Diceros bicornis minor: one gene and its partners. The protein of the gene in region 4 binds, or shares a complex with, the protein of the main gene of each other region. Links are inferred from orthologs where the notes say so. Each region holds a gene or a part of one and is shown on either strand. Other genes may lie near its edges.

Region 1 (7,115 bases), on a different chromosome or scaffold from region 4:
ATAGCCCACATCTCAGCAGTTACATTCTTAGGAACATACCCTAAAAAAACCTTCACACCTGTACACAGGAAACTCCTAGGAACATACCCTAAAAAAACCTTCACACCTGTACATTTTGCTATTACAAAGTTTTGCTTGTAATGGCAAAAACATGGGAAAAGAACTTTAGTGTCCTTCAACAGGAGAATGGATAAATATATTAATAATCATAATGTATAATCATATATTGGAATGCTACATCACAGTTAAAATAGCTACATGTAACAACATGGGTAAATCTCAAAAACATATTGTTGATTAAAAGAAACAAGTTTCAAAAGGAGATAATAGAGTATGATACTATTAACAAAAAGCTTAAAATCATACAAAATATGCTATACATTGTTTATGGGTACATGCATATGTAGCAAAAGTGTAAAAACATGCGTGGGAAGGATAAACACCAAATGCAGGGTGATGGTTGCCTTTGCTGAGGAGGGGAAGGAAGGAGAGAAAGAATGGAATTGGGTGAGGTTCACAGGAAGTTTCAACTGCGTTTCTTTTTCAAAAAGCTCTGAAGAAAGTTTAATTATAAAATGTTAAGATTCAAGAAAGCTGGGTGGTGGGTACAAAGATCGTTGTTCTGTTAGTCATGAGTTTAAATAAACCAAAAGCAAGATGAAGAAAATGGGAAGATTGGGTAAAAATCTGCATAAAAAGCCTTTGGTGTTCTAGGTCCCCAAGCAGTCGAGTGATTATCCTCTTTCTCACCAGACCCATCCCGTTTCTACCCCTTCCTCCATCTCCACCACGGGAGAGTCATTTTCTATAGACTCCAGCCAGTGGAAGGCAGTGGGGAGGCAGAGGGCTGATAACGGGATTCAGTAGAAGTCAGCAGGCACTCAAAGCATTCTTGCCCGCCCCCACACACTCTGGGAACACTCACAGCCAAGCTTACAAGCTGCAAACACAACCAGAGGGTTTGTCCCTGGAGAAAAGACCTCCGAATATTGACATCTGTGGGCCCCCAATGAAGTCTGGCACATCATTGGTGCCTGTTATAGTGCAGCCCACTAATCCAGCCCTTCTCCGAACATAACGTGCATTTGAATCACCTGGTAAGCTTGTTGAACTGCAGGTTCTAAATCTGTGGTTTATAGTGGGGCCTGAGATTCTGCATTTCCAAAAAGCTCCCAAATGAAGCCAGTGCTGCTGGTCCCTTTCGAGTAGCAAGACGCTAGTCAACTCATCTCGCCCACACTCAGCCTCCACTCAGCTTGTTACAGTCTCATCTTTAAATACGAGCAGACTGCTAAAGTAGCCAGACGTTTAAGGATGGCCATTAACATAAAAGAGAGAGACCAAAACAAATTAGTATAAAAAAGGACTCAAAGAAACAGATCAAAGCAGAGAGCAGAAGAAAAACTAAAAACAAACACACTATACCATCCTCAGAGAGAAGATATATAAAACAAGGATAGAATAATATGGGGAGGATTCAGCTGGGGAGAAAAAGGTCTTCAAGAAACTGAAACTTCAAATGGTTGAAGATTGGTTGCACAACAGCATGAATATACTTGATGCTACTGAATTGTACACTACAAAATGGTTAAGATGACCGATTCTATGTTATGTATATTTTACCACAATTAAAAATAAAATAACCAAAAACCCCAAAGAAACAGAAAGTAGAAGGGAAAATTAAAGGATCGATCTAGAAATCTAACTTTTAAAGAATAGGCATTCCAGAAAGAGAAGAAAGAAAATGGAGAAGTTATCAAAAAAAAATCAAAGAAAATTTTCCACAAAACTGAAGTACATGAGTTTCCACTTTGAACGAGTGCTCAGTACAAAAAAGTTGAGTCACAGCAAAGCACATCATTATAAAATTTCCAACAAACAATCTAAAGAGAAAATAAAGAGAAAATCCTAACACTTCCAGAGATGGAGATGATGTAACATACAAAGGATCAGGAATATGAATAAGAGTTAGACTTTTTAAACAGCAACCCTGAAAGGTAGAAGAAAATGGAATAATATCTTCAAAATTATGAGGCAAAATTATTTTCAAACTTGAATTCAATAACCAGCCCAACTACAAATCAAGTGTTAGAATAGAATTCAGATATTTTAAAATATATAAAGCTTTCAACAACATATCTTCTATCTCCCTTCTTAGGAAGTTACTAGAGGAGGTGCTTTAGCAAAACAAGGAAGAAAATCAAGAAAGAGGAAGACATGGGATCCAGGAAATGGGCAAAAACAGCCTAGAACAGCAACAAAGGAAAATCCCAGAATGACAACCATACAGTAAGTCTAGAGCACAGTCAATCCAGATTGAAACAAGAGGAAGGAAGGCTCTGGAACAAAGACTCTAGAGAAAAAGTGGAACTTGTGTATTTGGGTATATGGAAAATATTGCTAGAGTCTTGGACAGTCTTAGAGCACCTGTGGGGTAGGAGGCAGCCAACTGTAGGAAAATATAGAAAATTGACAAGTGAGAGAAAAAAGGCAATAATTAACTCTAAGAAAAATGAACAGCTGTATAAGCTAGAAGGCATGGTTGTGGTGCACTTCTTGGCTCACTGGTAAACAATACTTGCATACATAATAATTTAAACGCTGATTATTGGTTTAACCAAAAACTGTTACATAACTATGTGGAGGCAAGAAACAGAAGGGATAGTCATGTTCTCTTTTTTTTTTTTTTCCTAGGTTCATAATTTATTGTATAAATGGAGTATCACATGATGAGTTGACATTAGCTTCTCAGGCATGGAAACTTAACAGACAAGGTACAGTTTAGAATCCATTTATGTCGCTTTCACAGCTGAAGATTTTTTAGACCTTAACCTGAAGTATAAGACCCTGAAAGCAATGCTTCCCTATGTGGCCAGTACACAATTCATTCTACCTGTGAGAGTATAAGAGTTGAAATATTTTTTGATACCAGTGAAATGGAATTGGGCATCAGTTTCTGGACCTGCCATGATTTCAACCTTGTAAAATGCACCAATTCCACAGCTGATAGAGTCATGTTCTTATCTATTACAGCAGGAAGTCAACAGATAATCCTTAAAATTAACAAATCAAGAATTAGTAGTATAAGCATTTATTTAGATATATGGATCTAATCCGGATGAATACGTAAAAGAGTTGAGGACATTGCCTCTAAGGCCAGGGACCTGCTTTTTTCACTACAAGCCTTTTAGTACATGTATTTTTAAACTACGTATCCGCGTTACTTTAGTTCAGTAAACAATAATGTTAAAATGTTAGCGTATAATTTCGGGGGATCTGCAATGTCTTGAAGCTTATCCATGGCCAGTATCACAAGACACACAGGCAGAAGGTGCGAATGTAGCACAAAAACGAGTTCAGATTCTGCACGCAGTTGAGGAAGAAGGTACGTCTCTGGCAGAGGTCCTGGAAGGGTTTCAAAAGCAGAGACATCACGTTCGGGGCATCTAGAGGCAGCTCCCCAGGCTCAGAAATGGAGGCACGACAGGAACCCCGCAGGCCCCTTCACCTAGGTGACTTCTCGCTCCTTCCCGTCACTGCCCTTTTAACAATTTGTAGTTACTACTTGCGAGTTTGTGGTCAGTTTCCTTTACCAGACTATAAGCTCCACGAGGGCAGGGCCTCGTCTATTTCATGCACCACTGTATCCTCAGCACAGAGCAGGAGCCCACTACATATTTTTTGGAGAAATGAGGGCGTGACGGTGCCGCCGGACAGCCACTAGTGTGGCAAGAGGCACGGGCACACCCACAACCAACAAGCTGAGAGCAAAGAAGCCGGCTGGGCGATGACAAGAGCGGGGGTCTCTGAAATGGCAAGGCCGGAAGGGTGAAGCTGGACCTCTGGGACGAGCGGGAGGGAGGCGCTGGACAGTGAGGCAGGCCCTGGGGAAGGACGCTCGCCGGACAGGCACACTTGCAAGCGCAGGACGTCAGGGGGTCTGTGGGAAAGTGGAGGCGAGGTGGCGGCACCGCGCATGCGCAAGCGCAGCCTCCGTGCCCCCTTGGCGCGCCTGCGTGCGCGTGCACGAGGGGTCGGAGCGGAAATGGCGCCGCGGGGCCGCGCGTCCGGGCGGCGAGCGGAAGTGGGTGTGAGAGCGGAAGTGGCCGGCTGGAGCCGGGGGCTGGGCGGGGACCGGGCTTGTCGGTGAGGCGGCAGCGGCGGCGGCGGCGGCTCGGCAGGCGGGTTCAGGCTTCGGGGGCCAGGTCGGTCGGGTGGGTGGGTGTCTCCACAGTCAGGGCGTGCGCGGGCCAGCGCGCGCGTCCTCCCCTTCCTCCCACCCCGGTCCCTGTCCCCTTCTCCCCTAACCTCTCACCCCACCCAGCCCCTCCTCAGGGGCCAGCGGGGCGCTCCCTCCGTCCTTCCCCCCTTCCCCACCCTCACCTGCCCTTGTTTCTCCTTCCCCTGCCCGGGGCAGCCGCCGCCATGATCCTGCTGGAGGTGAACAACCGCATCATCGAGGAGACGCTCGCGCTCAAGTTCGAGAACGCGGCCGCCGGGTGAGCGCGCGCCCGGGGCGGTGGGTGGCGGAGGAGGTAGAGCTGACCCCCGCTGCTGCCGCCCAGTGTCGTGCCGCCCCCACACTTGGCGGAGAGGGACAGGGGGCCCGGCCGCGTGCGGGCACTGCCCCGGCGGAGTAGACGTGGGAGGCGATGGGGCGCGGTGGGGTGAGGGGCAGAGATGCACGGGGCGAGGCTCGGAGCGGGGATGCGGAAGCGGGGAGTGGACAGGAGTGCGCGTGCTGAAGGAGGGCCGGAGACCTGTGGGACGCGAGGGCATCTGGGGCCGGCACCCTCGCTGGAGGAGCCCGCTGTCCTCTCTGTTCCCCGGCATTGTTCTGATCCCGAAGGGAGCCCGTTTGGGATTGGGGTGGAAGGAGTTTTCAGGAATGCCCAGGCCTGGAGGAGGGCGGAAGATGCAGGCCCAGGTCACCACCGGCCTCCTTGCTCCCCACCCCCACCTCCTCGTCTCCAGGAGCGGGAGGGAAGACTGAAAGCAGACCCGGTCTTGCAGCGAGAAAGACGCGATCTCTCCCCTTTCCCTTCCCTGAGCCCTCCCGTGAGAGGCACACTAGCCATTTTGTTACATATTTCTCACGCAGAGCTAGTGGTCTCCCCATCCACACCCCTTCCTTATCTCTGTTCTGAGGTTCTAATTCTCCTCTCCCCACCCATTGGCCTTTATCTGGTTATCTTTTAAATTCTTATACTGGACCCCTGCTCTGTGATTTCTTCCGTGGTAGTCCGGGCCCAGGTATACACTTAAAAACCTGCAAAGTCTATAAAGTTCTTAGATAACCATTTTTTACTGTTGGCCTAAGACATATTTCCAAGGCAGCCTTCTCTGTCAAACACAAGAATGAATAAAAGCCAACCTCCTCCTCTAGAGCTGCTTTGCGTTTCTAATATAATATTTAAAACGTGAGCCGAGGAATTGGTTTTAGCTTCTGATTTTTGGTGGCCTGCAGCCGGTTCCTTTGCCTCATTTCCCCCTCTGTGAGGATGGGGCTTCACATCTTGGTTGCACAGTTGGGGAAATAAGTGTGAACTGTTTCTGGTGAGCTGGAAACTAAGAACAGGAAAGGAAGTGCTTGGAGATCCACCAATGGGAGAGGATCGGTGGAGGGGAAATTCTAAGTGGTCATAATGAACTTGTGGCTTGGAGGCATTTAAAAAAAAAATACTTCTAACCCACTGCTTGAATTGAGCATATTGTATCTCCTGTCTCTTTTATGAGGCCACAGATTGTATCTAAAACAAAGCAGGACTTTCCTTGAAGCATTGCATGCAGTGAGCAGTAGCTACTGTTTCCTGCCAGGGGCTGCACTCGCTTATATTTTAGGCTAACTTGCTTCTCGTCCGTCTTCAGCCTCGCTTCCCAGTTCCTTTACATTTTAAATGTTCGAGCGAATCAGCTCAGAGTCTTATTTTGGGTGATTGCCGTGTACTTTTTTGAGCAGTGTAGCACACAGGAGGAAGTTAAATTAACTTCTGCATTTTCACAGCTGATGTTAAGTGCATTCTCAAGTCCAGACTAGCAAAGAATGAGACCCGAGTGGTTATAAGCTGATCTACGAGATAAATGCCTGTGCGTTTTCAAGGAGAAGCATGCCTGGTTTGAGGAGTATGTTCACATCTGTGTATTAATAACTTGTGATTCCAAAGTGTCGCCCCTTATTTAGAACTTCAGCTCTTTTCCTTTTAGAAGATTACTCTTAAAAAGAGCAACTAACCATTTCAGAGGAATTAAAGTAGGCACTCAAGTCTGGAAGGCATACATTAGAACTTCTAGGACATTTCTTACAAGCTCTGTGTTACAGCAATGTTGGCTGTGGGGGCAGGGCAGCAAGCTTTGGCTTTTATTCTGGCCCATCTTCCCTTTGAGATGTGACTTTAAATAAGTGGGCTCAGAACATATTCTGCTGAAAAGCACTTTGAAAATCTTTGAAAAGAGACCATGATAGCCAGCCTAGGAGGTAGGGCTTTCTTGGGATTGCAAATATAACACCCGCAGAAGCCTTCTTCCAAGCCCAGTGTGACTTTCCAGGCATCCATTAAGTAAGGTGAGGCAGCAGTGAAGTAGTTAAGTATTTATCAAGGCACATACCTACGCCAGAACTTCCAGCAAAGGATAACTAGTATGATAATCATCAACATTTATGGGATTCTGCCAGTGCTCAGCACCAGGCAGGAACAGAAAAAGAGGGGCTTCCTGAGCGAGCCTATTGGCAAAGTTAGAGGGGAGATAAGGGATGAGATGTGTTGGGGTAGAGATCAGAAAAAGACATTCAAGTAAGAGTAGCTTGGAGGAGAAACCCTGGAGATCTGAAAGGCTCTGCCTGTGTGGGGACCTGCTGGGAGGAGTCAGCTCCACCCAGCCCTACATTTCTCAGAGCAAAGCAATTGGGGAAGTTATGGATCCGAGCAGCCTTTTGCAGAGTGAGTCTTCCAACTCTGCAAAGTCCAGTATGATAGCCAGTGGCTACATGTGGCTAGTTAAGTTGAAATAAGAATTAATTAAAGTGAAGTAAAATTAGGTTCCTCAGTCACACTAGCCACAGTTCTAGTGCCCAGTTGCCACATGTGCTAGTAGCTGCCGTATTTGGAGAGTGCCGA
Region 2 (7,595 bases), on a different chromosome or scaffold from region 4:
GTTAGTAGCCTTGAGCCCGTGGCCGTGTCTTGACCTCACTGGCCCAGGAGAAGGAGAGTAGTGATTGGATCACAACTCTAGTTTTAGGACACTGGTAACAGTGCTTCTCAAAGGATGTCATGATATCCTCAAGAGTAATTTTGCCCTTTTGGTGACACATGGGAAGCCTTACTTCCCTCCAGGAGTGAATCCCAGCACCTGGGGTGCCAGCGTGGCAGGCCTGCCTCTCCCCTGTTGCTATAGCATCCTCGCTGCGCCCCACTGGCAGGAGCTGCTTTGTGCATATATGTCTGCACCAGTGCATCAGCAAGGCTGTGGTCACAGAGGACAGACGAAAGCCAGCCCCAAACCAGGAATTAGCTAAAGGTAAAGGTTTCTTTTTAGTTTCAATAAATCACATGGTTTGGCCAGCAAGCCCAGAGGTTTTTAGAGAAACAATGTATTCCATGAAAGAAACAACAGCAACAAAAAACAAAATTTACTAACTTTCCCTCCAAGGACTTAATAGTCACAGTTGTCTTTTTTCTTGTTTTAACTTGGGCCATTTCTCACTCATGGAAGAGTGCCCATCCCGGTCATGGCACCCAGGAACCCTCAGTGCTGTGCTGCAGTGCTGGGGCCTGTGAGATTGCCGAAGCTCCCTCCTCCTCTCGCCCTACCTTTGAGACTCAGGTAAGGCCTGGGTGCACAGTGACTGCCAATTTGGAGGGGTTCTCAGTGACCCTGACTATGCCACGACACACTGGTCAAAGCCCTTTGATTCGATGCTTTGGTGTCAGATTATAGTTCTGCCAAGTTGTGTGACCTTGAGTGATATAGTTAACATCTCTGTGCCTCAGTCTCCTCACCTGTAAAATGGGCATGATACAGGATTAGTAATTCCTCTTAGATACTCATGAAAGCCGAGGTTTGCTTTCAGGCTTGACACTGGCCGTATAGTAGTCCCCGGAGACCCTTAATAACAGTGGGCTCAGGTGGGAAGAAGTGTATGAAGTATGTTGGTAACCAAAAAAACTTCAGTAGTTCTTTCCAGAATATTATGCTAGAAAACGGGTCAGCCTCAGAACCCAGATTAATTGCTTAGGCAGGACTTTTCAGTTTGGCCCAACAATCACCACACAAGTGGTCTAGTTCCCATGTGTGCCCAACCCTGGAGGTGGTGATGTGAAGGCCCAGGGTGGCCCAGGTAGTCCCCATGTGGACTGGTCAGTACAGATCAGTACGGACATTATAAGGTTATGTTATTTAAGTTATGTGTGTGTGTATAATTCAAATACTAGATGTGGTAGATAGAGTAATGCCCCCCAAAGATGTCCATGTCGTAATCCCCAGAACCTGTGAACTTTGCAGATGTGATTAAGTCAAAGATCTTGAGATGGGGAGTACTCTAGGTTGTCCAGGTGAGCCCAGTATTGTCACAAGGATCCTTGTAAGAGGGAGGTAGGAGAGTGAGGGATGTGACATAACAGGTTGGAGTGTCACAAGGCCCCGGAGCCAAGGAATGCAGGTGTGCTAAAAGCTGGAAAAGGCAAGCAAACAAGTTTCCCCGGAGCTTCCAGAAGGAACACCACCCTGCCCGCTGAGACTGACTGTGGGCTTCTGACCTCCAGAACCGTAAGAGAATAAGCCACCCTGTTTGTAGTAAGTTGCTACCGCAGTGATAGGAAACTAACACACTAGGTCAGTTCAGAAAGGAGGGGAAGTATAGTCTAGAGCAGAGTTTTTCAAATTGAGGGTCAGACCCCGTTAATGGTTGTAAAAGTCAATTTGAAAATGACACAGAAGAGAAAAGAACAGATTTTGCATTGCCTGTAGTAAGTGTTGTTTCAAGATGCTTATGTTTCAGATATATGTGGGGATGTGTACTAGGTCGCAGTAGACATATCACTGTGAGTTGTGATCAAAAGTTTGAAAGCCACTAACGTAAAGTCAGTCACCTGAGGGGGCTCATGAGGAGGGGTGCTTTAGCCCTGCCTTGGATACGTTACCGTGAGAACAGCTAACCGCCAGGCACCCTGGTGAGCAATTGATAGGCCTCAGCTACTCACAACAACTCTATAGTGTTGGAACTTTGCCACATTTTAAAGATGACAAAACTCAAGTCCAGAGAGGGAAGTGACAGCCTCCGTTGGAACCGTGGCAGTCTCTCCAGAGCCCCAGCGCTAACCGCTAAGTCTCCTCCCTACTGGGGGAGGGCAGGGAGTGGAGGTGCGTAGTGACCAAGCCCAGTTCAGTTTGCCCAAGCTTGGGAGCAGAGAGATGTCATTGGAACTGATGGGAGGGGACCCCTCTGACAGTACCCTATGGGGTTTCGTTGTAGACCTGAATTTCTCAGTGAACTGACACATAAAGCCATGTGGCTTGGAACGGGGTGTGCCTCAGAACACTGCCCCCATCAGAAGACTGCCTCCTGGAGCAGGACACAAGTTCCTGGCCTCAGCTATGGTGGACCCCTTCCCGGGCTTTGGCCACCTTACAAATATGTGTGGCCCAGGGAAGGAGGCCCAAGGGTTTCCCCTCTTCCCTCCTGCTCACAGGGATCAGGTGGCAATCCCTTGATCCCAGGGAGAGAGACCCATGGTCCCCGTTCTTGGTGGGAACATGCTGAGACAGAAGAAGATGAAGCTTTCCTCCCTGGTCTCCTGCTGCCTTGGCCAGTGCACCACTTCCTAGGCCAGATGCCTGGAGTTTGGCTGCCATCTTGTGACCAGGAGGCAGTAAGGCAGTGCAGTGAGGAGGAAGGAGCAGAAAGCTGGAAAGAACCTCGTGACCTGGAGACGCGACCAGCCCCCTGACTACTACTGACTGCCCTCCTCCAGGTCAGCCAGCCCTGCAGAGTCTGCCTGGGTGTGTGGCTGCATTTCTTGGAAACCTGAGAAGGCGGAAAGAAGGGGGAGTGTAGCATCTTCATCCCAGGGCACCAGGGGAGGCAGATTCCAGGAAGCAACAAAGCTCTCCAAGTTGTTCTCAGCACTCCAAAAGAAATTCTTCCACCCCCAAGCTCCCCTCACCCAAGGAGTTGTTTCACTTAAGGTTTAAAAACTTTGTCCCCCAAGGGAGCCATTTCAAAGAACATCCCCCATGGCTTCCCGGTCTAAGGTGTGCTTTCCATCCATTGGGTCTTCCCATAATGACCGCAGGCCTGTGAGGGGGGGCGGGCAGCGCTTGTTATGAGTCAGCCTCGCTTTACAGCTGCGGAAACTGAGGCACGCAGGACGAAGGACTTGCCTGAAGTTATACTGCGGGGTTAAGTGGCAGAGCCAGGGTTGGGTACATGTTCTACCACCACCATTCATTCATTCACTCACTCATTCATTCAACAGATGCACACTGAGGGCTTGCTATATGCCACACGCGCTGCTCTAGGCTCAGGGGAAAGCAGAGCAAACAGTAAAAGAGTTTGCTCGCCCTAAGCTTCTGCATCGTCTTTTCATCAATCAACTTGCTTCACTTCAGTTTTCACCGAGAAAAGCGAGTCCCCAGGTGAGCACATTGGTCAGGATGCTTTACTGAGACTAACAGAAAAACTCAACTCGAACCAGCTTCAAAAGTAAAGTAGGTTCCTTAGCACACGTATCCGAAACCTCTGGAGGCAGATTGTGCTCAGGCTGACTGGTCAGAGGTTGACCTGGGCTCTGGTCATTTCTCTGGGATTCTCTCCATCTGCGCTCTAACCTTGTCGTCTGGCTTCCTTTGTGGCTGTTACACTTCCCTGTTCAGATTCACGCACCTCACCCAGAGGGGCTTCTTTCCCCTCCATCATCATCAGAAGTCCTGGCCTCCTAGGGAGAGGGGCCTGATGAATTGAGAGGGTGCAGGGTTTTCACCAGGGTCTCCTCCATCTGCCAGGCCACTTGGCCACATCTCCATTGATGAGGCAGAGGGTAGGGATGGAAAGACACCCGCGGCCACCTGGCCCAAGACCCAAATTCAAGTGGCTGCAAGCAGCCAGGTAACTTAAAGGAGTGAAGGTGACCGCGGTGGAGTAGAGGGCCGAGAAGGCAGCACTGAGAGAACGTGCTGGGCCAGCCAGAATCAGCGGGGCGGCCAGCGTGCATGCCTGGCCGGGCCAGCATCCTGGTTTTGTAGTGAGGATCCAGGGCGGGGCGGGCGGGGCGGGCTGCCTTGGCCACGCCTTACTGCCTGCACCGGGTTTGCACTTTTAGCGCCTGGCGGGTATCAGTTTGCGAACGAAGAGATGGTTCCCGCGCGGCCGGGGTCCGAGGCCTGCAGAGGTTCGCTAAGTTGCTCAGTCGCCAGCGTATGAGCGCAGAGTCCGCCGTCCCCGCGGTCCGGCTCAGACGACACCGCCCTCCCGTCCGGCGCTGTCCACTCTCGGTGGGGGGTGGGGGGTGGACACGCGCCCTGCCAGGCTCCCGGTCCCCGCCCAGCTGCTGCTCAGGCTGTGCACCCCTCTCTGAGCCTCAGTTTCCCCGTCCATAAAGTAGTGCGGAGTGGTCGTGGACGATTTCTGCGCGCCTTGGGTCTGTGCAGCCCGCAAACCCGGAGGGGTGGGCGGGGCCTTGGGTCTCCCGACCGCTGCCCCTGGTCCCCGCCCCGGTCCCCGGGGGCCTGGCTGGGAGGCCCCGCCCCCCGCCCACGAGGAAGTGGCTGCGGCGCCGCGCGGGGCCCAGAGCCGGTTCGGCGCGTCGACTGCCCAGAGTCCGCGGCCGGGGCGCCCCGAGGTGAGGGGGCGCGGGGGGATGCGGGGATGTGAAGGGGCGCGGGAGGGGGCGCCTGGAGCTGGGGGGACGGAGGGGGAGGCGGGGGTGAGGGGGTGCCTGGCGGTGAGAGGGTCGCATGCAGGTGGCGAGTGCGCGGGGGCTGCCAGGAGATATGGGGGTGGGGGCACGGGGCGTCGCCTGGAGGTGCGGGGACCAGTGGGCGCAGGTGGCGGCCGCGCCGAGGGTGGGCGGTGGCCTCCGGGCGAGGGACGCGCAGGGGTCCCGGCGCCCTCGAGGCGGCCCCCACCCCCGGCCCCTCTCCCTGTCCCCTCTCCGGCCCTCACATCCCGACTCTGCCCCGCGGCCGGTGTCCCCCGTTATTTCGGGCCGCGAAAGCCCCACACCCAGTCACTTCCCCACCCTCCAGCCTTCCGGGTTCTCCAGCCGGGAAATGAGCTGGCGCCCCCGCCCTCCCTCCGCGGCCACCGCCTCCCCCCTCCCCTCCCCCCGCCCGCCTCCCGCCCCGGGCCGGGTCCGAGGGGTCCGTGCAGGGAGGGGGCGGCCGGGGGCCCCGGGACGGGCGCTTCTGAGCTCCCGGGCGCTGGCCCCGAGCGGCCCCTCCCTCGCCTGCGGCGCAGGAGAGCAGCCGGCCTGTCCAGGGCTGGGGCGGGGACAGTCGTACACCCACCACCGGCGGGAGCCCCGGGAGCGAGCCTGGTGCGGTGCGGGACGCCGGGCTGGAGGCTGTCCCCGGGCTCCTCCCGCCTGGCGGGCGGTGCTCCCTCGTGGTTAAGAACACCCATCGCCCTTCAGGTCTCAGGGCCCTAGGTAAGAGCGCCAGCTTCTTCCTCCACCAGCTGATGACCTTAGCAAGCCACCTAACCTCTCTGGGCCTCAACTTTCCTTATCTGGAAAATGGGGACCTTTCAAGTTGTGAGGCTTAAATGTGGTAATGTAAGACACTTGGCAGTGTGCCAGGCACACACTGTGAGTGTGTGCTATTAGTGTTGTCGCTGTCATTGTAAGGCCTGCCCTCATTTAACAAAGTGCCCAGGTGAACCTAAACTCCCGTATTTCGGGTCAGAATCCAAGCTGTGCCATTTAGGAGCTGTGTGACTTTGAGCAAATCTTGGCTTTTGTCTGAGTCTCACTTTCCGTCTGTACAAATGAAGGTTGAAAAAAACACAAAGCAAAAAACTTCCTAGGTTTGCTTTAGCAGGGAAAAGAGAGAATGTCCAAGTCCTGGGTAAATCCTAGGCATTTAAAATGCCAGTAGGGTTAGTTCATTACATATGGATTTGTATATAATCCACATAGGTCTTTTCTAATAGTTAAATAGTATCCCAGCATGTTAATGTCACTAGTTACTTTTTCCATATTTGTTGTCATCTGGATTTTTCCACCCTGTCACCACTATAAACAGTTATTATGAACATGTTTGTTTTTTAAAAAAAAAAAAGTGGCTCTTAGCACCGAAATGAATTTATGCAACCAAAGAGTGTTAACAGTTTTTAAGTTCCTGTTCGTGTTATTCTGTTCTGCTTGTTCCTACCCAGTTGTTGAATTGAGAGTTATCACATTGCTCTTCAGAAAGGCTGCACAAATTAGCAACAAATGAGAATTTCTCCACAGCCCTGCCAGCATTGAGTTTTATGTTTTTGGGTGTTGTTTTGTTTGGATTACTTTCACTGGTGCTTTATGGTGCCTTGGGATTGTTTTCATTTATGTCTCTTGACTTGACTTTGCCTGTTTTGTAAGCCTTTAAGAGCAGAGTTGGGGAGGAGGATTGGCTGGTCTGTTTGGGGTGGCAAGGGCTGCTCTGCACACAACAGGAAGTTGAGTAACTGCTTAGCACGCGTGCAGACTGGCTTGCTGGCTCAGCCTCTGAGCTGGGTGGGGACTTCCCTGAGTGTCTGTAGAGCCAGAGATCCTTGCTCCAGGCTGCTCCTGCCTGGTTTAGCCTCAAATTCAGCCAAGCCTCTGCGTTCAGAGAACACTGGCAGAGCTTCTTTCAAAGCAAGAACAAACCTACAGCCAGTGCCCTGTCCAACTCCAGCCTTTTCTGGATGGAGATGTGAGGGAAGTGGTGGCCAAGGGCGCCCGGCCAGTATGGAGAGAGCCAGAACTTGAACCCGGCACTGTAAGAAGGAGCACTGAGGTCTGAGGCCCTTGGCGGGGCAGCCCAAGGCCTCGCCTGGCTTGCTTTGCTGAGGAGGGGAGCTGTATTCTCCTCGAATCCTCAGAGAGGACCCTCTAGATTGCAGGTTTTCTAATCATTGACCCTATCAGGGAAAAAAATTGGTGCACATACTCCCCGGGAGATATTTACAAATTGCATACATGCGTCACTGAAGCAATCCTGCGTATTCCTAAGACAGACCCAGCAAAAAGGATGTGATTCATTCGTTCAGCATCATTCCAGAACTATTACTTGATTGCCTACTGTGTGCCAGGCCCTCTGATTGGTGCTGGGGATGCTTCAGTGAACAAAACAAACACCCTTGCCCCCATGGAGCTGACATCCACATCCCAGTGCATGGTCTATGGCACTCCCAGATGGAAACCCAAACCCCCTCCCAGCCATCATGCTGCCCTTCTCTGTCCCCTTGCACCCCAGCCCCAAGCGGTCCTGGTCCATTCATTCCAAGCACCCACTGTGTGCCTGACGCCAGGGAAGTGCTCCTGGGAGCACAGAGAGATCCTGGCTCCAGGCTGGTGGGGGGTGGCTTGGAGCCAGCAGGGGAGTCTGTCGGGATTTGGCCCCTCCCCTCCCCCAGTCTCACTCTGTTTCCGGGTTATGGGGGCACAGAGCATGATCCTAACATGATCCCCAGGGCCCCCTCCTCTCTGTCCTCAGCAGTCAAATGGGCCCATGGTGCTGGCTCACAGGACCGTGGTGACAAGTGGGTGGGTGTCCCGGAGGCCTTGTCC
Region 3 (7,264 bases), on a different chromosome or scaffold from region 4:
AGGGAGGATCAGCATCTGTCTCACCAAAGCCACTGGCCCCCTACTCCAGCTCACATAGGAGCCAGGCAGTATGGAGGGTGCCCAGCTCTCAGACAACACAGTGAACAGAACAGACTAGGCCTTCAAAGTGTCTTTCATTCAAAGTCTAGAGCAGTGATTCTCAAGGGGACGATTTTGTCTGCCAGCGGACATTTGGCAACATCGAGACATTTTTCACTGTCATGACTTAGGGGGAGAGGTGCTACTGGCATGGAGTAGAGTCCAGGCATACCACTAAACATCCCTCAACACACAACAAAGAATTATTCAGCTCCAAATAGTGCTGAAGTTGAGAAACTCTGGTCTAGAGGCATACAGGTGAATGACTATCCTCCATCAGTCTTTTGAGCCAACAAATGGCTAAGTCCACTGTATGCCAGGCACTGAGCTAGGTGCCGGAAATTCAAAGATGATTAAGACCATCTCTACCCTTAAACAGCTCAAGTAGGAGGAGACAGAGAAAATAACTATGATATAAAGAAGGATGACATGTGAAATAATTAGATTTACAAGTTATATCTGCAGAAGAAATTGGTTTTGATTTGAAGATAGAAATAGGATTAGGTGAATTTTACAATGAGAAGCAGCAGAATAAGGCCATTCCCAGTAGAGAGATCAGCTTCTAGCTACACTGGCCTATCTTCAGTTCCTTTAATCAGCCAAGTTCTTTCTCACCTGAGGGCTTTAAGCATGCTGAACCATCAATCTGCAGGCTTTTCTCCCCTCTCTTTGCCTAAGTCATCCTTCAGATCTTGGCTTATTCAGGAAAGGCCTCTTCCTTCCCCAAAGAGGCCTTTCTTAACTTCCCTCTTCATAGCATTTATTATAATTTATAATGACACACCCTTCATACATCTTTAGTAAAGTGATTTCTCCTTCACTCCTAGACTGTAAGCCTCATGGTCAACAGACCATGTCTATTTTATTCAAATCTACATATGCTGCACCTAGCTCAGTCACTACCTAACATATAATGTCTTACCCAGTTTCTGCAGAATGAACGAATGAACGAAAGAACTTAAGGTTAGAATTACATAAAAGGGCATTAAGAGTTCCAGAAGCAGTAATGAGTACACTGTTGCTGTATATGGGAAGCATTTTAGATTCAACAGATAAGGCTGCAATGGCAGCCTGAAGATTCATGGGGAATCTCAAATGCCAGGCTACTGAGTGTAGCTTTTCTTTTAAGATGGTAAGGAACTGCTGGGGCTTTTTGAAGAGGAAGTTACACGACTAGAGCTACATGGTGACTCTGTGGAGAATGGACTGGAGAGGGAAGTGAGACATAAGGCAGAGAGGGCTATTTAAGGAGCGCTGATGAGAGCCTGGACAGGGGCAGTGGAAAGGACAAACAGAGGGGATCACAGGGGTTGTCCAGCATAATGGAATCCAAAAACAACTCCCAACAAACTATGGTCCATCCATACAATGAAATACTACTCAGTGATAAAAAGGAATAACTACTGATACACACAACATGCATGGATTGCAAATGCACTATGGTAAGAAGCCACACTAAAAAGTCTACATACTGAAGAATTCCATTTATATGACAATCTGGAAAAAACAAAACTATAGGGGGAAAAAAATCAGTGGTTGCTTGAGGGGCAGGGAGGACTGATTACAAAGGGATTTGAAACTTTTTGAGGTGATGGAAATATTCTTGATCTTGATGGTAACAGTGGTTACATGACTGTATTTGTCAAAATTCACAGAAGGTAAACCTGAAAAGGGTGAATTTTAGGTGGGCAGCCCAGTGACCCCCGCCCTTTCACAAATAAAACAGACACAGTCTCATGTAATACCTCAACAAACTTGATCTTTAAAAAATCAAGAGGCATGGCCTCAATTGGAAAAAAAGAATATCCCAGGTTTCTAGCTGGGTTAAGAGGACACAAAGCCAGAATAAGGGACATAGCAGGAAGAGCGATTAGGAGAAAAGGTGACTTTTGACCTGGAGGTCTCATTTCAGGCTGTCTTCAAGATATCCAGGCAAACCTTGAAAGAGACCTAGGAAAGCAGACTCAGGAGTCACCAGAATACACAAGGTCATTAAAGTCGGAAAACTAGTTAGCTATCAATAGGGAGACTGTAAAGAAGACGAAGGTGTTGAGCCAAAGTCTCAACTCCCAGGAACACTGACATTTATCAAACAGCAGGATTTCCAGGAAGGGAGGGATCAGCAGTATCAGAGCTTACATGCTACAGTAAGGCTGACACGATTGAGTTCTGACCAGGAAGGGGACGGGGTGGAGGCGGCATAAAAGAAATCTTTCAGCAAGGTACAAGCAAGGCTGGGGGCAACAAGAAGAGTAGGATAATTAAATGCGGACGCTTCCCTTGGGAAACTGCGGGGTCAAGTGGGCAGGAGACGACAGGGCAGTGTATCTAGTGCAGTTCTACTCTGGGTGGAGAGGCGGCTCTACTACGTGCCTCAGCAGCCCTACTACGGGCTACGAGACCTACTACACGCCTTCGAGGCGCTACCACAAGCCTAAGGAGCTCCGCTTCCGGTTTCCTCCATGCCTCAGGAGTACTCCCGACTCGCTTCGAAAGCCAGACCACGAAGCCGCAAAGCCTGGTGCTTACGAGGGCGTCCCCCGCTCGCCCCTTCCTCACTTCGGCCCCCGCCCCACCCTCTTTCTCCCAGCCTCATCGTGGCCCCACATCCCCAAGCATCCCTCGGCCCCGGGCCTCTCCGCTGCAAAGCTGCATCTCCCCCAGACCCAGACTCCTGAGGAAGAACAGCGAGGGTCCCTGGCCCGGGGTCCGGCTCTCTCACCATCGCGGGCGCTGGCTGGGCCGGAAAGCGGAAGTGCGGAAGTGGCCAGCCCCGCGACGCCTGCCGTTTCGCGAGAAGCGCAGCCGCAGTCTCCTCCCGGACTTCCGGACGGTACCATCTGTGCTCCGAGCGGGGGAAAAAGAGCCTAGGAACACTTGGTCCCTCGGAAGTTTTCCCGCCAGGACTGTCTTGGTAGTTTTAGACTCCTGAAGTTTCACCTTGCTACTCAAGCTCCTCCCGTTATCCATGCAGCTCTCGCTTGTGACTTTGGCCTTCTCGTCGTCTTTGCCGCTTTCTTCCCCCATAGTCATGTAATGGTGCAGCCAGCCTCAGGTTGAGTACCATAATAGGACAAGGCGAAGTGGAGGAGCCCTTCGTTTCTTCCGGTTCTGTGCCCCCGTCCTTCCTGCGAGCCCCGCCTACCTGCAGCTCCCGGGGTTCGGCGGGACTAACTACCGGGTGGAGAACCCGACTGCCGAGCCCCGCCCCCTGCCCCGGGCTGTTCCCTAGGGTACGATCGAGGCATACCGCCCCACCCCCCTACATTGCGCTCGTTCCCGGCCCGCCAACCCCCACCCCCGCAAGCCACAGTGAGCTCGCCTTCGAGTCTCCCCGCCCCCGCGTCAACTGCGAGGGGCCGGCACACAGCCAGTTCCGGGGCGGTTGCTCCGACAGACCGGAACTCCCCGCCGCCTCCCGCGGCCTGGGGGACCGTAGTAGGCTGCAGTGAGGAGGTAGAGGGGGAGGGGGCCGCGTTAGGGGGTCCCTAGAGGACGAGGACATTGAAGGCGAGACATTGGGGCCACCCACGGGGTGGTGCCAGCCAGTAAGCAGTCCCACTTTTTCTGTACCAGGCACTGAACTGGGCTCTTGACGGGCATCATCTCTTAATCCTCAGAACATCCCGGGGAGGTAGGTACTATTGTTATCCCCATTTTACAGATTCAGACTTATGGGGAAACAGACTTCAGGCTTCTTTTGTCCTCATTTTACAAATGGGAAAACCGAGACTCAGGAAGGTTAAATAACATGGTCAGGACTACATAAATAACGAATAGTAAAGCCTGGGCTGCAATCCGGATATGTCTGGCTTACCAGCCCACATTCTTAACCGCTGTCAGGGGCAAAGGTGGGGAGGGGTGAGACAAGGAGAGGCTGAGAGGCACAGAGAACATTATCGTTATAAGAATGAGATGCTTCCAACTCAGGGACTTAGCACAACCCAGGAGTGGAACAGAAGAGAAGAACATCAGAAAGACAGGGCATAGTATATGGTGGTGGTTAGGGGCATGGACTCAAAACTACTTGGATTCAAATTGCATCTTGGTAAGGTTGGGCATGTACCCACCCTTACAGAGTCTCCGTTGCCTTGTCTGTAAAATGGAGATCACCATGGTCCCTGCTTATGGGGTTGGATGAGGAATTTAATGAGAAGCTGGTAAAATGTCTGCACCTAGCTTGGCACACAGTAGATGCTCTGTGAGTAGCTGTGCCATCAACCTCGGCAATAGGGTACTGAAGCCTGGCTTTCTCCTTGAGGCTGTCCCTGGATAGAAGGAGCCCTTGGGCTTTTCTCGTGCCACTTTATCTCCCATCAATGGTCTTTTCCTCTCCAGCTCCACAGGGTCCCATATCCTGGGCCATGAGTGAGCTGAAGGACTGCCCCTTGCAGTTCCATGACTTCAAGTCTGTGGACCACCTGAAGGTGTGTCCCCGCTACACGGCAGTGCTGGCCCGCTCTGAGGATGATGGCATCGGCATCGAGGAGCTGGATACTCTGCAGCTGGAGCTTGAGACCCTGCTTTCCTCTGCCAGTCGGCGCCTGCGGGTGCTCGAGGCCGAAACCCAGGTGATACCCCCAGAGGGGGCGTCACCAGGGATGAACTGTGACAAGTTATGGGTTGGGTCCTTGAGTTAACCCCATCTGCTGAAGCCTGGGTTACAGAAGCTTAGCAGAGGAGAGAGAGACCGAAAATAGGCTTGTGTAACATGTAAAATATGCAAGAATATGCGTGATCCTCGTAAATTACAGGATTTCTAATTCAGTAGGCATTTATTGACCCCCACCCCCCATTATGTTCTGGGTCTTGTGCTAGTCTAGAGAGAGGTAATTAGGACAATTCTGGCCTTCAGGGAGTTTGCCAACTAAAGGGAAGGGGAGTCAGACAAGTACCAGGTGATGTGCTGTTACGTTTACGAGTCCTGGGGGACCTGGAACGGAGAGACCTGGATTTGAATCCTGTCCTGAGCACCTGCTAGTGTTGCTGTTTCCTAGCTTTGTGACTTTGAGAAAGTTACCTCCTGGCGCTGAGTATCAGTTCTCTATCTGCAAAGTGGGCTGAATAATAGGACCTACCTCAGAGCTTTTTGTGAGGATTAAAAGAGAGGGTTTTTTTGCAAAGCTGAGCCCAATGTCTGACACTAAGTAAGCATTTCAAATGTTATTTATTGGTATTACTATGATTATTTCTGTTCATAGCATAAACATCTTCTGAGCTCTGTGTGTCAGGTGCTCTGCCAGACCCTGGGGAACAGAGATGGTTCAGATGAACTTCTTGGTCTCTAGTAGCTTATAATCTAGTTGAAGAGACAAGGTTCTCTGTTCATTCCAGTGAGACCAAACAACACGATTGGGCCTACAATAGAGGTATGAAGTACCACAGACTCATAGAGGAAGAAGATGCCATTTCAACTGGGCCTCAGAAGATGAATAAAATTAACTTGTGGTCCTTGGGAATCCACTGAAGCTTTTTGAGCAGGTCTGTGGCACAGTCAGTTGTATTTTAGCATCTAGGAAGCTGGGTAACTGATGCAGAGAAGACTTCTCAGTTGTGACATTTGAAGTGAAGGTTTGCTGGGAGGCTTATTTGCCTTCACCAAAAAGTTATGACCAGCATATTTTCCCAGGGCTAACATGCACTGGGGTGTGATCATTCATTTGACTTTTCTGCTAAACACTATGTGACTGGCTTGGGTGCTACAGAGCTGAATCAGTATAGACAAACAATGAATGGAATGATGAGAAGTATATGAATAAAGTCCTGTGAGATGCACACAGAAAAGGAGCTGAGTTTTAAAGGATGAGTGGGAATTTGCTAAATAAAAAGGGGATAGGGGAAGGCTATGGGGCCTCTTGGAGTTGTAGATCCTGAGTTTTCACTGGAAGAAGGAGTTGTCCTGTGTCTTCCCTTCTCTCCCTCAGTGACAGTCTCTGTGAATTTCAGATCCTCACTGATTGGCAGGATAAGAAAGGTGACCGACGATTCTTGAAGCTGGGTCGAGACCATGAACTTGGAGCTCCCCCCAAACATGGGAAGCCCAAGAAGCAGAAACTGGAAGGGAAGGCAGGACATGGGCCAGGCCCTGGCCCCGGACGGCCCAAATCCAAAAACCTTCAGCCCAAGATCCAGGAATATGAATTCACTGATGACCCAATCGACGTGCCACGGATCCCCAAGAATGATGCCCCTAACAGGTTCTGGGCCAGAGACCACAGAGGGGCCTCAAGATTTGGGCATTGGAGGCCCTGGAGGGGCCTGGGGCTGAGGCTGGTGTGGCAGAGGGGCGCTCACTCAGGATCTGCTTCTCTCTGCAGGTTCTGGGCTTCGGTGGAGCCCTACTGTGCAGATATCACCAGCGAGGAGGTGCGCACGCTAGAGGAGCTACTAAAACCCCCAGAAGACGAGGCTGAACATTACAAGGTAGAGACCCTGGGCCTCAATAGACAGGATGGAGAACAAGAGGCCCAGAGTTGCCTCAGAATCAAAGACCCCAAAGCCATATATCATCTTCCTTCCCCTACCCTGCCCAGTCTCCTGTCTGCCCCATTACCCCACCCAGCCACCAAGGCTCTAACTTTCAGCTTTCTCCCCTTTACCCCATCCAAATGGCCACCTGTCCTAAGGCATCTACTTCAGTGAGGTCCTCCCTTGTCCCCTCATCTCCATCTCCTCTGCTTTGCTTTAAGCCTTCATTGGCTGTTTACCCACACGGCCTCTTAACACTTTGCCAGCCTCCAGAGAATCTTTAAATATTAAAAGTTTGGGGGCCGGCCCAGTGGTGCAGCGGTTAAGTGCGTGCGCTCCACTTCGGTGGCCTGGGGTTCCCAGCTTCGGATCCCGGGCACGCACTGATGCACCGCTTGTCAAGCTATGCTGTGGCAGTGTCCCATATAAAGTAGAGGAAGATGGGCATGGGTGTTAGCTCAGGGCTGATCTTCCTCAAAAAATAAATAAATAAATAAAAGTTTACTTTTTTTATGATGAAAATAAAACAGATTCCATTAAAGAAAATGTAGAAAACATAGAAGAGTGTTGGGGGGGGGGGTACTGTCCCATTCGTCAGCTGTCATGATCAGATGTGCTCATGACATGGCCCTGCTCCCAGGCCTCCCTTGGCTCCCATTACCCACAGGATTGAGTCCAAGTGTCTCAGTCTGTGGTG
Region 4 (6,900 bases):
TCTGAGCTAACATCTATTGCCAATCCTCCTCCTTTTTTTTTTTCCCCCAAAGCCCCAGTAGATAGTTGTATGTCATAGTTGTACATCCTTCTAGTTGCTGTATGTGGGACACGGCCTCAGCATGGCCGGACAAGCGGTGCTTGGTGTGCGCCCGGGATCCGAACCCAGGGCCACCGGTAGCGGAGTGTGCGCACTTAACTGCTAAGCCACGGGGCTGGCCCTTTGCCCACTTTTAAATTAGGTAATTTGTCTCATTATTATTATGTGTTCTTATTCTGGATACAAGTCCTTTGTTGGATATATGATTTGCAAATATTTTCTCCTAGTCTGTGCTTGTCTTTTTGTTTTCTTAATACCTAAATTAAAAGTTTTAAGGGGCCGGCCCGGTGGCGCAAGCGGTTAAGTGCGCGCGCTCCGCTGCGGCGGCCCGGGGTTCGCTGGTTCGGATCCCGGGTGCGCACCGACGCACTGCTTGGTAAGCCATGCTGTGGCGGCGTCCCATATAAAGTGGAGGAAGATAGGCACAGATGTTAGCCCAGGGCCGTCTTCCTCAGCAAAAAAAGAGGAGGATTGGCGGATGTTAGCTCAGGGCTGATCTCCTCACAAAAAAAAAAAAAAAAAAAGTTTTAAATTTCTATTAAGTCCAATTTATTGATTTTTTTTTTTATGGATCATGATTTTGGTGTCATAACTAAGCAATCTTTGCTTACCATAACATCAAAAGGTTTTTCTCCTGTTTTCTTCCAGAATTTATAAAGTTTTAGCTCTTTTATATTTAGGTCTATGATCCATTTGAATTAATTTTTATGTATGGTGCGAGGTAAGGATCAAAGTTCTTCTCTCCCACCATGCATGGATATTTAATTGTCCCAGCACTATTTGTTAAAAACATTACCCTTTCCCTATTGAATTGTTTTAGCATATTTGTTGAAAATCAATTGACCATAAATGTAAGGGTTTATTTCTGGTCTATCTATTCTGTTCCGTTGATCTATATGTCTATCCTTATGCCAATGCCACACTGTCTTCATTACTGTAGCTTTATAATATGTTTTGAAATCAGATAATAGAAGCCCACCACCTTTGCTTTTCTTTTTCAAAATTGTTTGGCTATTCTGGTTCCTTTGCATTTCCATATACATTTTAGGATCAAACTTGTCAATTTCTAAAAAGAAGAAAGCCTGCTGGAGTTTTGATAGAGACTACATTGAATGTATAGATAAATTTGGAGAGAACTATCATCTTAACAGTAAGTGTTCAATCCTTGAATATGGTATGTTTATTTATCTAGATCTTTGGTTTCTCTCAACAATGTTTTATAGTTTTCAGTGTATAGGTCTTACATTACTTTCATTAAATTTATTCAGATTTTTATGATGCTCTTGTGAATGGAATTGTTTTCCTAATTTCATTTTGAGATTGTTCACTGATAGCATATATAAATACACTGATATCTGTATGTAGATCTTATATCCTATGACTTTGCTAGACTTAATTTTTGTTAAATCCCCCATTTCTCATGTGTAAAATGGGGATATCTATCTGGCAAGATTTTTGTGTGGAATAACGTACGTAAACTCTCAACTGAAGGCTAGAAATGAAGCCCCCCTCCTGAAAAATTCAATTACGTAAAATCGGGGGTGGGGTGGGGGGGTGGGCACAGTATTTTGAGGAAAGTAAAATGCCAGGATTCACCTGGTGTAAATGGCAGGAACCATTCACCAATAGTATTATATCTGAATTTGCATAATCAAGGAGTTTTGCTACATTTTCATTTGTGTAGTGAATAGATGTTTGCTATTTTCTATCATCTGCATGTATTGTTTTTACAATCAGAAGAAAACAACAAATGTTATTCTTAAAAAGTAAAAATCAGGGTCCGGCCCCGTGGCTTAGTGGTTAGGTGAGCCTGCTCCACTGCTGGTGGCCCGGGTTCGGATCCTGGGCGCGCACCAACGCACTGCTTGTCCGGCCATGCTGAGGCGGCGTCCCACGTACAGCAACTAGAAGGATGTGCGACTATGACATACAACTATCTATTGGGGCTTTGGTGGGAAAAAGGGGGAAAAAAAGGAGGAGGATTGGCAATAGATGTTAGCTCAGGGCCGGTCTTCCTCAGCAAAAAGAGGAGGATTAGCATGGATGTTAGCTCAGGGCTGATCTTCCTCACAAAAAAAAAAAAAAAAAGTAAAAATCAGTAATCCATTTAATTTCATAAAGAGGAAAAGTAAAAGGACATAGAAATGCTTGCGTTCAATTTGCTGAGACCAATTAAATGTGCTTCCAGGAAAACTGCACAGTGCTAGGCACTGGGGTCACAAAAATAAGATATATAATTTATGAACTAATACACAGTTCAGCAGGCTTCTGAAGAACCTCGACGACTATTGAAGCAGGGTTGGGGAAGACATAGTTCCCTGAGGCTTCCTTCCCATCCTAACCTCTCAAACTTCCAACTACCACTATGGCAGCTTTACTTTGATCTATTTTATATGTTGGGGTTCCATATAAGATTAAATTTGAATAAAGCATTCTATGCCTTTATAAAGGTTTGAAAACCACTGGTCTAATACAAGAACTAAGTGAAAACGGAGAGGCAGCCTAGTATTATAATACTGAATGGGGGGTTCATAATCCAAGTTTTATTCTAGTCATTGTACATGTACAGCCATGTGGAAGGCACAATTCTAGTTCTCACCTCTCGAAAAGGATGGCATTTTTTTCTAGATGAATTTTAATGTCATTCATCCATAAATATTTGTTGAGTTTAACAAGCACAATAATGTTATTCATATATCCATTGTAAAGTAATAACAAAGGAAGAGAGTAAAGAGCATCTTGAGGGTTATCAGCAAAGTCTTCAGAGAGTGACAACTGGGTCTTAGAGCACCAGTCGAAGTCTCCCAATTGATTAAAAAGAAAAAAGGTAGGGGCATCACAGATGGAACTGCACATTTAAAAATATGGAATTAATAATAAATAGCTACCAGTGAATGGATGCTTACTCTATGCACAGAATTTTATCCTCACAACCACCCACGGAAGTAGAGGTTATTACACCCATGCACAGACAAGGATATGCCCAAATCAACAAAACTCTTGAGTAGCAGGGCCAGATTTGAAACTGGGGTTGTCTATTTCAAAGCCGAGGCTCTAGGTTCAAATGGGTACATATACTTAAGAGGTGTGAAGCCACACGGTGCTGCTGGAAGAGGAAAGTGGTGAGTTATAAGGCTGGAAATGTAGGCACCCACTCTCATTCACTTGACTAAAGACAATTTGGGCAAAGAAGAGTTGGGCTGGAATTGGAGGTATCGGTATAAATGCATGATTTCAAATATGTGTGTGTGGGTGTATCCATTAAGGCTCTGTCCACTGAAAAGGCCTAGAAAGCAAGAGCACACCAAGCCATGTTCAACCGTGGGATGGGCAAGCACCTCCAGGTTTGCTTCCCCACACGGCTGGCTTTTCCGCCACATTCCATTGCCATCTCGCCACAGACCCGGTGTCCTTCACCTGCCTGCGCCTTCTGCAGCAGGATGAGAGGCGCCCTCAATTCCAGACACGCCTGAGGGAGAAAGTCGCAACACCCTCCAGGTTGACTGCCATCAACGCCCGGCGAAGCCCGGGGAACAAAACGCTGAGAGGAAGAATCCCGGGTGGGCGGCGTCGGTGACTGTGGGGCTGGAGCCGGAATGGAGCTGTGGGCGGGGCCTTGGCGCTTCTCCGTTTCTTATAGGAGCTCACCGCTGCCAGTCTCGGCCTCCTCCCACCTGTCCCCACATCTTCCGCATAGGCCGTCAGTCAAATGGCGGGGGGGGGGGCGGAGGAGACTTCCGGTTGGGGGGAGAAAGTTGGGACGAGGGAGGGGCCGCGAGCGCGGAGGAAGAGGAAGAGGAAAGGGCCGGGCGGCGGCGGCGGCTGTAGGTTGTTCGGCGGTGGTGGCGGCTCTCTTCCGGGCGGACGATGGACAGCCAGGGCAGGAAGGTGGTGGTGTGCGACAACGGCACTGGGGTAAGCGCCCGGCGGGGAGCCGCGGCGGCCACAGGCCCGGCGGGGATGTGCGGGGGGCGCGCGGGCCCTCGGCGTCCGGGGCTGCACCCCTGGGCCCTCGGGCCGGCGGGATGAAGGGGCGCGGGCCAGCGCTGCCTGCCCCCACGGGCGTGGGGAGTTGGCGGGCCCGGTCCGGCTCAGGTCTCCCGGAGCCTCCCACCCCGGCCGCCTTCTGGGTCAGGGCGGCGGGCGAGGCCGGCGCTGGGTGGGCATGTCACCTGCTGCCCGGCAGGGTCGGCTCCGCGCTCCAGCGGGGACAATTTGGCTAAAGGGCCGGAGGGGTAAAAGGCTGGGTTTGTGTGTTCGAGAAGGGCTCTGTTCCCCACGGTCGCTGGTGTGTGAAACGGAGAAAGACCTAGAGGCCTTCTTCTTCCTGTATAGTTGAAGGTAGCGAACGAGAGGCAGGAAACGAGTTTAAAGAAAAAAAGGGAAGTGCTGTCATGCAATGAGCCTCAGCCCTTTCGCAGTGTTAGAGGGTTATGTTGTGTGTGGTTTTTTTTTTTTTGAGAGAAGGGGAGGCTAGATAGCAGCACATCATTTACTTTTTGTTCTGCGCGCTGGGAATTTGGCCCAGGGGCAGCCCCGCAGAGACCAGCATGTTCCATTGAATGATCTTGGGAGATCTAGGACCCCGCAAGGCCGAAGGGTTAATTCCACTGACCTTGGGGGAAGGTAATCAGTTTTGGTCTCCCCCCTTCCTTTTTTTCCTTAGGTGCACTAAGATTCTAAAATGCAAATAATTGTAAAAATCTGAGTAAAACACTTTTTTAGAAATTATTTGAAAGTTATCTCAAACGCCCACCCCCTTTAAAAAATGTATTTTGAGGGGCCGGCCCGGTGGCGCAAGCGGTTAAGTGCGCGCGCTCCGCTGCGGCGGCCCGGGGTTCGCTGGTTCGGATCACGGGCGCGCACCGACGCACTGCTTGGTGGGCCATGCTGTGGCGGCGTCCCATATAAAGTGGAGGAAGATGGGCACCGATGTTAGCCCAGGGCCGTCTTCCTCAGCAAAAAAAAAAAAAAAAAAAAAGGAGGAGGATTGGCGGATGTTAGCTCAGGGCTGATCTCCTCACAAAAAAAAAAAAAATGTATTTTGGGCAGCAAAGTCAGCAGATTAAAAGACGGAAATGTTATTTATTTTGGATGAGTTCTGTAGTGATCATTTCCCCTTCATTACAGTAATGTCGAACCGTTTTGGAGTTGCATATTGTGTGACTTTTCTCCCCTGCCTTCCATAAATGTGACATATGAATTAAAATAGATTTTACTTGAACTTTAAAACACTTCGGAAACTGGATTGTTGAGGGGGAAAAAAAAGCTAATATTCACTACCATAATACTTCCCTTGATTGAATTTATTAGAGATTTTTACAAGCAATAATTATACTAGCTTTCTGAACTAAGTTAAAAATGAACAAGAGTAAGAAGAGTGTTATAATGGGACATCCATACAAAATAGAATACTTAAAAAAGGCAGATTCACTGCTATGGAAACATGTCTTAACTTAAAAAAAATTTTAGAATGAGCCTATTTATGTGTGTTTTCTGTATTAAAAGATATTTATATGTATGCAAACTTGTATCTGTATATGAAAGTTTTGGAGGGATGCGTAAGGAATGTTCATATGGTTACCTGTGAGACTAGGAATAGGAAGTGAGGGAAGATAGGAAGGACTTCATGACTTCCGAATTATTGGAAAAATGTTCTTTGTTTTGTTTTTTAGCAAAACATGTATTAAGCTATCTTTAAACTAAAGAAACTATAAATGTGTATTACTTTTACAGTTAAAACTCAGTTAAAGGTGCTTTTTAAAGAATTTAAGTTCCAAATTGACTTCTAAATAAATTTAAAGCTTTAAAAATTGAATTTAAAATATTTTATTTTGCTAATATTTTGTTTTGTCAGGTATTCTCTTTAGAAATCTGAGCCAGCTATATTTTATTGGATTCTTCTTTTTTGAATGGTAATGAACCCTGTATTTGTAGTATAATGAGCTTTTCAATATTCACTTAGAATAGGACTGTTAACCATGAGCTCATTTTTATGTTACTATTTTATTATTTTAGCTGTGTTGAAAGCTGATTGTGTATTATTGGTTAGTCTCATGTCTAATCCATAATTTAAGAATCTTGTTCCTTAAGACAAGGGATCAGTTACTATGACATAAATAGAAAAAATGTAGTTAATTCAAACAAAAATGTATTTGGTGTTACATTTCTAGTTGTCTTTAAATTTTATCCAGATTTTCTATAGACACGATCGACTTCAAATGAAGAAAGAGCTCTGATATAATACGTAATCAGGATGCTGTGATATTTCTGAAAATTTAGAGGATTAGGAACCATTTAGAGTCTATATTCTATTTCTTACTGCTTATACTTCATAGTCATCCTGATTTTATTTAGTTACCTGAAGGTATAGTGATTCCTTTACAATGAAATATTAAAGAAGATATTCAAATTTAATTTCTAAAAACTTGTGGGATTAGTTGTTGCCCTAAAGCAACTTGTCTCTTACACATTTTAGGTCTTAAAATTACAGGCAGTTTGAGAAGTTGATGATTTTTTAAACTCCTCTGGCAGGCCCTAAGTCGAATGCTCTAAGAGTAGGTGAGATCTTATGATCACATGCCAGATGTTGATCCTGCTTCTCTTCTCACTAGCCCCCAACTAGAGCAGTGTCTCGTTAGAGCAGCCTACAGGAGGGAAAGTCATCCTATTCCAGTAATTTATGTGCTTCATCTTCGTAATTGTTCAAACCTACTCCGTAAAATAGCCACTGAAAGTGGCCAGATAGATGAAAATCTGAAGGTCTCCTTAGGTTTAGGTGCTTTTCAAGAGTTGAGCCCA

What was found.
Region 1: ACTR2 (region 4) and ARPC2 share a complex: the UniProt entries of both Homo sapiens proteins name them as parts of the arp2/3 complex. The link is inferred for Diceros bicornis minor from reciprocal best matches to the Homo sapiens genes ACTR2 and ARPC2.
Region 2: ACTR2 (region 4) and ARPC1B share a complex: the UniProt entries of both Homo sapiens proteins name them as parts of the arp2/3 complex. The link is inferred for Diceros bicornis minor from reciprocal best matches to the Homo sapiens genes ACTR2 and ARPC1B.
Region 3: the proteins of ACTR2 (region 4) and ARPC4 are in contact, whole or in part, in a cryo-EM structure (PDB 6YW6), measured with the Homo sapiens proteins. The link is inferred for Diceros bicornis minor from reciprocal best matches to the Homo sapiens genes ACTR2 and ARPC4. Residues at the interface, in NP_005713.1 of Homo sapiens: Tyr222, Val223, Tyr225, Gln229, Glu230, Lys232, Leu233, Ala234, Leu235, Glu236, Thr237, Thr238, Val239, Lys253, Thr308, Met309, Tyr310, Pro311, Gly312, Pro314, Ser315, Asp346; in NP_005709.1 of Homo sapiens: Val29, Val30, Glu31, Arg32, His33, Lys35, Pro36, Glu39, Val40, Ala98, Glu99, Asn100, Phe102, Ile103, Leu104, Arg105, Arg106, Lys107, Leu117, Thr119.

Annotation. Positions count from the first base shown.
Region 1 is NC_080776.1:8,672,830-8,679,944, forward strand, and holds the start of ARPC2 (actin-related protein 2/3 complex subunit 2), read left to right. Parts: upstream 1-4,110; 5' UTR 4,111-4,205; intron 4,206-4,417; 5' UTR 4,418-4,425; coding exon 4,426-4,499; intron 4,500-7,115. UniProt on the Homo sapiens protein: Actin-binding component of the Arp2/3 complex, a multiprotein complex that mediates actin polymerization upon stimulation by nucleation-promoting factor (NPF).
Region 2 is NC_080765.1:7,312,788-7,320,382, reverse strand, and holds the start of ARPC1B (actin-related protein 2/3 complex subunit 1B), read left to right. Parts: upstream 1-4,590; 5' UTR 4,591-4,685; intron 4,686-7,595. UniProt on the Homo sapiens protein: Component of the Arp2/3 complex, a multiprotein complex that mediates actin polymerization upon stimulation by nucleation-promoting factor (NPF).
Region 3 is NC_080741.1:82,754,643-82,761,906, reverse strand, and holds the start of ARPC4 (actin-related protein 2/3 complex subunit 4), read right to left. Parts: upstream 3,020-7,264; 5' UTR 2,825-3,019; coding exon 2,822-2,824; intron 1-2,821. Other genes in the region: TADA3 (transcriptional adapter 3), read left to right, coding at 4,464-4,670, 6,046-6,296, 6,417-6,522. UniProt on the Homo sapiens protein: Actin-binding component of the Arp2/3 complex, a multiprotein complex that mediates actin polymerization upon stimulation by nucleation-promoting factor (NPF).
Region 4 is NC_080751.1:22,559,994-22,566,893, reverse strand, and holds the start of ACTR2 (actin-related protein 2), read left to right. Parts: upstream 1-3,890; 5' UTR 3,891-3,966; coding exon 3,967-4,014; intron 4,015-6,900. UniProt on the Homo sapiens protein: ATP-binding component of the Arp2/3 complex, a multiprotein complex that mediates actin polymerization upon stimulation by nucleation-promoting factor (NPF).